Linked DNA regions of Schizosaccharomyces pombe. The gene in region 1 interacts genetically with each later gene. Each region holds a gene or a part of one and is shown in the gene's direction. Other genes may lie near its edges. The genes, in order: klp2 and dli1.

Region 1 (3,928 bases):
TGGCTACGGAGGAAGAGACATGCTCCCAAATTGGTGTTGGCATCTTGAAGGCCGGTGGAAATGCAGTGGATGCGGCTATCGCATCGGGAATTTGCATTGGAGCTGTCAATTCATTTTCAAGTGGTATTGGCGGTGGTGGATTTATGTTAATACGCCATCCAAATGGTACAGCACATTCCTTGAACTTTCGCGAGACTGCTCCAGCGGGTGCCAGCAAAAATATGTTTCATGGTAACTCTACCCTGTCACAGGTAGGTGGTCTTTCCGTTGCCGTCCCTGGTGAAATTGCTGGCTACGAGCGTGCTTGGAAAATGTATGGCTCTCTACCTTGGCATAAGTTGTTTGAACCAACCATACGTCTTATGAGAGATGGAATGCCAATGCCCAAGGAACTTGCGTCTCGCATCAGACGACCCGAGTTTTCCTATTTCAAGACTCATCCAGATTGGTCTAAAATATTTGCTCCAGAAGGTGTTTTTTTACACGTTGGAGAAAAGTTTTATCGGCCTGCTCTAGCGTCTACCCTCGAAGAAATAGCTAAGTTTGGTCCTGAAGTGTTTTACACAGGAAAAATTGCAGAAAGGCTTGTAAAGTTTGTTCAACAGCAAGGAGGTATACTAACCATGGAGGATATGGCCAATTTTTCAGTTGTTGTGGAGGAACCTATTTATGGTAACTTCTATGATCGTGAGGTTATTACTTGTGGATCCCCTTGTAGTGGAGAGGCTTTGATTTTAGGTTTAAATGTTCTTTCAAAAGTAGATTTAAGTGAAGGTACTTCTATCCTTGGTTGTGAAATGACGGATATTGGCGTGCACCATCTAATTGAAACAATGAAATGGATGTCCGCTGGACGGACTGTATTAGCAGACCCAACTTTTTACAATAATACAGATCATGTTGAACAGTTACTTTCTTTGGAATATGCTGATGAAATTCGCAATAATATTTCTAACGAGAGGACTTTTGATTTTACTCACTACAAGGCCGAATACGATTTCCCTAACGATCACGGCACTACTCATCTTTCCGTTATCGACAAAGACAATATGGCAGTCGGACTCACAGCTTCTATCAATTTGATGTTTGGTTCACAACTTTTGGAACCTGAAACGGGTATTATACTGAATGATCACATGGACGATTTTGCTTCTCCAGGAATAGTGAATGCTTTCGGTTTGAGTCCATCGCCATACAACTTTATTGCCCCTGGTAAGCGACCACAAAGCTCCGCGGTGCCTACGATTTTGGTATATAATGGTGAAGTTGAAATGGTTCTTGGTGGTAGCGGTGGCAGCCGAATCGTGACAGCTGTGTTAGACACAATTATTAAAAAATATAAATGGGGCAAGTCATTGTTAGAATCTGTTGAGAGTCCTAGATTTCATCATCAGCTAATGCCTAATATCGTCTATATCGATGAAACTGTTGAAATTGAAGTTCTTAGAGCTTTAGAAAAGTTTGGTCATATAGTGGATTTAATCCCCGTTCAATATCCTTTCAGTGAAATTCAAGCTGTTTTCCGCACCAACGGCACATTGTACGGTTTAAGTGATAGCCGAAAACAGGCTGTTGCTGCTGCCTATTAAAATTTCACTAAATTATTAAAAAAAACTCCTTAGACGCTCACAAAATTTTCCTTTATTTGTTGTTATTAATTTATCAGGTTTATTAACTTATTCTCAATCTTTATGTGCTTTTTACTGATCTTTAGCTTGTGGCTGGGATGAGAGAAAAATATTATAAAGCATAAAACGTATGAATGATCACTGTCTACATATTTGTGCACATGATGGTGATGATTGGACCTTCGTTAGTTAGATAGATTACATTCTTTCCTAGATTTAGAAAGTTTTAGCAAAACGAAGAACAATTACATTTAACTTTCGAATTTATTCTAACCGTAACATAATATATCTTCATACTTTAAACGTAAAACAGTAAAATATTTCTTTCGATGTACGAATGGCAAATATTCCTTTACTAATTAAAAATACTTTACTGTGTTAATTAATACTAAATCATTAAATTGAATTAAAGATTCACATAATATCGGATATTTGCTTTTGACCTTCGTGGTCCATGGAATACCACCATACAAATTGTTGAATAGTGAACTTTTGATTTAAGCTTATGAAACTCAACTTCTCTAACACCTTACAATACCCACATGTTTTTGGGGAAAAGGAGAAAGTATGGAAGAAGAAGGACATAAAAGTTTAACTGTAAGAACAAATTTAAGTGTAATTTATTAATTTTTTTCCTTATAGTCGCATCTACCTCAGTCCTCGAGTTCTTTGTCGCAAAGTCGAGAAATTGCTAAAGAATTTACGTCTAATATACCTCCTCCGACTATTAAAACTAATTCATCTTCATCAAATATTCTGAAACCTCGGTTATCATTGCAAAATGAAGTTAACCAACTGAAACCTGCTAAATTTCCCAGTAAGATGTTACCACCAGGAAGCTTAGCCTCGGTTAAATCTTCTAGTCTTGCAAAAAAAGCCAGGCCTTTTACCGCGTCCTCTAATCCCAGGATGCCCAAGTCTGCACATCCCATTTCAAGTCGGTCAGTGTCTGCTTCTTCTCATTTTGGTAGACCTGCCAGTGCTGTTTCATCCAGTTTAAATAGTAGCGATGATGTGAGAAGTATGTCAGATGAAAGTATGGAATCTTATAATGATGAAAAGTCTGTTAATGCCAGCGCCTTAAGGACTACAGAAGACCGGTTGAGGAGTATGGAAATGGCTTATGCTCAATTATCGGCTAAAGTTATTCCTTCACCCTCAAAAAGACCAGCTAATTACAAATTTTACGAACAGAGAATTGCTATGCTTGAAGAATCATTAGAAGTCGAGAGGAGTCGTACATCGGAGTTACAAGAACAATTTTCAGTGGCTCTGAGAGAAAAAGCTGAGGCGGAGGCTAATAAAATCGTTTCTCAAAAGGGTATGGAGAGTTTGGAGATAATGTTAAACTCAATGAAAAGTGAAAATCATCAGCGCATGGCCATGTTGGAAGAGAACCATGCTCGGGTGATGGAGACAGCTGAGCTTCAGCATCAAGCAGAATTACAGGATTTTGCTTCCAATATTGAACAAAAAGCAAATAGTTTAATCATGGAGTACAAAAATGAATTGCAGTCTGCCGAAGAACACTTTTCACACAAGATTAAAGAGCTTACTTCAGAAAATGAACTCAAAATTTCCAGACTACAAGAGGAAAAGGATTCTTTATTAAAGAAAGTTCAGGAGGGCGCTTCGCTGGCTATGCAACGTGTCCAAAATAAGCATGATCTAGAAAAAAAAAGACTGCAATCTGCAATTCAACCGCTTCAGGAAGAAAATAATTCTTTGAAACAGCAGATTGAACAATTACAAAGAGAACTTGCTTCTGAAACAGTTGTTAAGGAAAATCTGAAATCTTCGTTGGACCAACAAAGTGCCAACGTTCAGAAGCTTGAATCTACAAATCGGGCTTTAGAAAGCACTATCAAAACACTTGAAGAAGATGTTTATACTATGAAAAATAAGATTATAGAACTAGAAGGCATTTTAAAATCTGCCAATGTTGAGAGAGACGGTTTAGTTGAGAAACTCATAGCTGAGGAAACTCTGAGAAGAAAACTCCATAATACCATTCAAGAACTTAAAGGTAACATACGCGTTTTTTGTCGAGTGCGACCTCCCCTTGGCGATGGAGAATCAGCACAAATAGCTTTTCCTGATCAAAATTCCGAAGCTAGTACTATAGAGATTGTTGCTCAAGCCCCAGGGTCTTCGTTAACAGGGAACGGGATAAAACAGTATGCCTTTAATTTCGATCGTGTATTTTCCCCTGAAACGACTAATGAGGATGTATTTAATGAACTGTCACAGTTAATTCAAAGTGCTATGGACGGATATAATGTTTGTATATTCGCTTACGG
Region 2 (3,928 bases), 3.0 Mb from region 1:
TGTTGGCGAGTACTTCTTTATTTCTTTTGAAGTCTGTAAAGGTATTTTTTGGAGACCTTGCCTTAGTAAATTATTTTCATCAAAAAGTCGATACGTTGTACAGCCCACAAATTCATAGACTTCCTCATCATTAAAGGATGGTTTCCAGGCAGACACTACAAATTTTGCGTTCAATGAGAGCTCAGAAACGGTAACCCCAAAGTCGAGCCACTCATGAGTTGATATCTTAGAAAGCTCAGTAGGAAGTAGACTCTTATTTGGTATTTTTGAAACGAAACATTTTTGCATTAAAGATCCTGATTCATTCCCTGAAAACAATTGAATGGTGCAAATGCATGGTTCTTGACTATCTTGATATTCAATGAAGCAAAATTTAACCAAGAATCTGGCAGTCACCTTGCTTGAAGGACAATATGAAAAAACAAGTCTATCCATTCCATATGTAAAGCATTTATTTTTTGGAAATTTCACTTTTTACCATACAAATAATAGCCTGGGATTGTTAATGTGGTGGTGTACTAGCTTTACTAAATGTGGTAAGACAAGAAAGGCTGTAGCTAAAGTACACGAAGCAATGATGAATTATAATACTGTGGAATTTAAGAAATACTTCGTAAAATAAGTACAAAATGCTGAATACGGTATAATAATAATAATATCTCATAATCTACTACACAAGTGTTTTTGCTGTAATTTTTGAAATACAAAAAATAGGACGCATTCATCTCTACATCTCGATGTAAAGTCAAGTTTTGAGTGTCTGAACATAACACTGTAAGCAAAGCTTGAGGCGGAATAAATGGTAAAGCCGAAGAAGCTAAAACTGCTCTGAATAATTGATCACCTATACCCTCTATGCGCTAATGGTGTTTTATGTTTTGTGTTTGCTCACATTGAATTAATTATTTTTAGTTTTCAAGCACCGGAACGACTAGGAACTAAGCAACAATTGCTGCTTGGTTAACAATACGATCAACTATGTGGTTCATTCAACAGCACATAATCTTTTGCAATAATTGATATAAATTCACACTTTCTTGAAATATAAAAAATACAGTTTTATGAATTAACGTTGTTGTAAAAGAAGACCTAACAATTTGCTTAAAAGTGAACGTAAATAACATTAAATGATAAAAATGAATGTTTTAATATTTTATTTTATCTGGTAATTTTTTAAAAAAATAAGTTCGATAAAATAACAAGCCTGTAGATTTACTGTCATATATTCATATAATATTCGGAGCAAAAGCATATTAAAAGTCTGATAATTTTAAATTTTTATTTAATTGTAAAATTTAGAACGAACTAATTATTAATCTTTCATAATAAAACTAATTATTTTATAGAGGCCCTATTTTAGTATCAGTTTATAAAAAATACGTGTCTGCGTAAACCAGTGGAATTTTCTCATAAGATTTTCCTGTTTTTAAATTCATAAAAAATTATATTTAAATCTTAATTGACTTCAATTTGCGGGATTCTCTTATCGGTCGCTTTTGCAAATTTATCGTGAAAGTGACTCAAAAGCTGTTGGCATTATTACTTCACCAATTTAAAACAAAGTTGAGTGGGAATTTTATTCATTTATTTTAATTCTATATATTATGAAGATTTTGCTTTAACCTCGGGCAGATACATTATTAAAGAATATGTCTAGCATACTAGTACTTGTAAAAATATAACGATTTTCATTGTATTATAATAAACTTGAGATCTGAACTTCGTCATCTAAATGATCCCTTTTAGCTAAAGTTTAATCGTTTGTCTTTGACTTGTGCCTGAACACTTTTATTAGTGAACTACATAAATAATTGCATATGGATGAATTATTGGAAAAGTTGCTAAACGATCTCAAAAAGAAGGAACCGAAAGCATGTAGTATTATATGCATAGGTACGCTCCATATTGAAATTCTTATTTATCATGAATAGGTGAAGACCTCGATATTATACAATGTATGAACGAGCACGGATGTTTTAGCGGGGGAAGTTATTCAGAATTATCAAATGATTGTGAAACTGTAAATTTTCGAGGAATTGCTTATAAGTGTTTCTTTACAAAGGATCAAGTGAAAGGTACGCGATTAGTACGATTAACCAATTATCTCATGCTGCTAGTAAACTTTTGGCAAATTTCACATTTAACTGGTGGACTATTCAATTTTCTTGTTAGTCAAGCTTTAAACGAGCATGGATTGGATCTGTTATGGATAATAATGGTCGTAGCGCAGACTCTTTCCGCGTTAGTTTCCTTTCCGGAGAAGTTATTAAATATACTTCGGAATATGAAAACAATTCTTATAAATACCGAGGAAACTGTGAGGAATCGATTTGAAGAGTCTCGTAAGATTGATTGAACTCAATTATCCTGTTAACTGATCTGCTTTAGAGAACAAAAAACTGGTAGCTTTACTGGATAAGAACTCGACAACATTGGATATAAGTAGTGGTATTCTACTAAACTTTACGGTTGTTCTGAAACAGGTAAGATACCCTTGAATACTTGCACATTTACTAATTTGTAGTTGAAGCATGCTTTAGGCTTGCATACCTCAGTCGATAATTCACAGGAATTTATTTTACAGTTTTTGCGAACGACACTTTTATCCGTACCAACGTCCTCAATTGTTTCTATCTCAGCGGACCCAACAAGCTGGAATAATCTCAACGTTTTAATGAAGTATAATTTTATGTTTCAAAAGTTTAAACCTCGAGATTTTCATGCTCAAACAATTCAATCAGAAACTATGTTTATACCTCCTTGTTGGGACACTATCTCTAAAATACAGAGTGTCAATCATGAATTTAATATCGCCCTTTTTAAACAAACCGCTAAAAATTTTTACGATACTCTTGACATAAGTTTATTACTTGGTTTATTTGATAAGAGTATATCGATGTTGAACTGTCATTCCTCAAAAATATCGGATGGAGATATACCCTACAAATCGCACCAAGTTTTTTTGCAAGAACTACAGAACAAGTATAGCGAGATTAAAACGTATTCTTCAAACAAATTAAATAAATCCTCCATAAAATCAAGTTTGTGGAAGGACTTAATTCAATAATTGTAATTGGCCTAAAGACATTCATTATTATTACAAAATCATATTATTTAATTAAAATGCATTAATGAGTTTCTGTCAAAATTTCAACCTCATAAATAATATTTTTTTTCTTTTAAATCATGACCATAAAGAACTATTAAAGTCCGGCTAATCCAAATCGCTCTGGAACCAAAGGAGCTGAGTCATCCAGTAATTTTTCCAATGCGAGCGTTCTGAATTCTGAAAGTTTATTTTCAAATAGAATTAAAACAGCTGCTGAGAGTGACTTAACTTTCTCACCTTGATCAGGGCTTTCAAAAAGAAACTTAGTATACGCCTCAAAGAAGAGCAAATGCTTCCCAAACTCATTAGCTAAAGTACGCCCAGAAGATATTTCTAAGATAGCCAAAAAACTAAACAAAAGCCCTTCATTAACTTCTGGAGTGTCTGATCGAAGTCGGCAGACCTCATTTAAAACGTCAACATATTCCCGGAGCATTCTGTTTGCCCCTTCTATCTTTGAGGTAAAAGTTTCAAAAAAGAGAATACCCAATGTCTTAAGATAGTAGACTAAAAACAAAGGCTCAATAAAAGCCGTTTTCCTAGATGCCAGCATATAACCACTGGTGAGGAGCAGGAACAATGATTTATCTACCTTAAGCGATAATCGATTGGCCTTTGGGAGTGGCTTTTTCGACTCGATTTCCGACTGCTTTGAAATATACCGTGTCTGTAAGAATTTCGGTCCCTCCGCATAATCCTTGCATTCACTCATTACCGGAAAAACTAATTTCCTTTCTAATTCATCACTAATCTTTTCAATAGTGGGTGAATAAAACTGATCGTGTAAATTTCCTGGAAGTAACTGGCTGGGAAAAAGAC

Evidence for each region.
Region 2: of klp2 (region 1) and dli1, changing one enhances a phenotype caused by changing the other (phenotypic enhancement), as found in Schizosaccharomyces pombe (one study listed by BioGRID).

The regions. Positions count from the first base shown.
Region 1 is NC_003424.3:1,719,800-1,723,727, forward strand, and holds the start of klp2 (kinesin-14 family minus-end directed microtubule motor Klp2), read left to right. Parts: upstream 1-2,154; 5' UTR 2,155-2,195; coding exon 2,196-2,225; exon of another isoform or gene 2,226-2,270; coding exon 2,271-3,928. Other genes in the region: gamma-glutamyltranspeptidase Ggt1, read left to right, coding at 1-1,589. UniProt on the Schizosaccharomyces pombe protein: Minus end-directed microtubule (MT) motor that is involved in spindle microtubule shortening, kinetochore capture, and polarization of cytoplasmic microtubules. During mitosis, promotes spindle microtubule shortening by depolymerization.
Region 2 is NC_003424.3:4,736,744-4,740,671, reverse strand, and holds dli1 (meiotic dynein intermediate light chain Dli1/Dil1), read left to right. Parts: upstream 1-1,774; 5' UTR 1,775-1,817; coding exon 1,818-1,893; exon of another isoform or gene 1,894-1,931; coding exon 1,932-2,075; exon of another isoform or gene 2,076-2,117; coding exon 2,118-2,342; exon of another isoform or gene 2,343-2,388; coding exon 2,389-2,483; exon of another isoform or gene 2,484-2,524; coding exon 2,525-3,067; 3' UTR 3,068-3,191; downstream 3,192-3,928. Other genes in the region: phosphatidylinositol 3-kinase Pik3, read right to left, coding at 1-435; TTT co-chaperone complex LRR repeat subunit Tel2, read right to left, coding at 3,204-3,928. UniProt on the Schizosaccharomyces pombe protein: Component of the cytoplasmic dynein which acts as a motor for the intracellular retrograde motility of vesicles and organelles along microtubules. Promotes oscillatory nuclear movement and efficient pairing of homologous centromeres during meiotic prophase.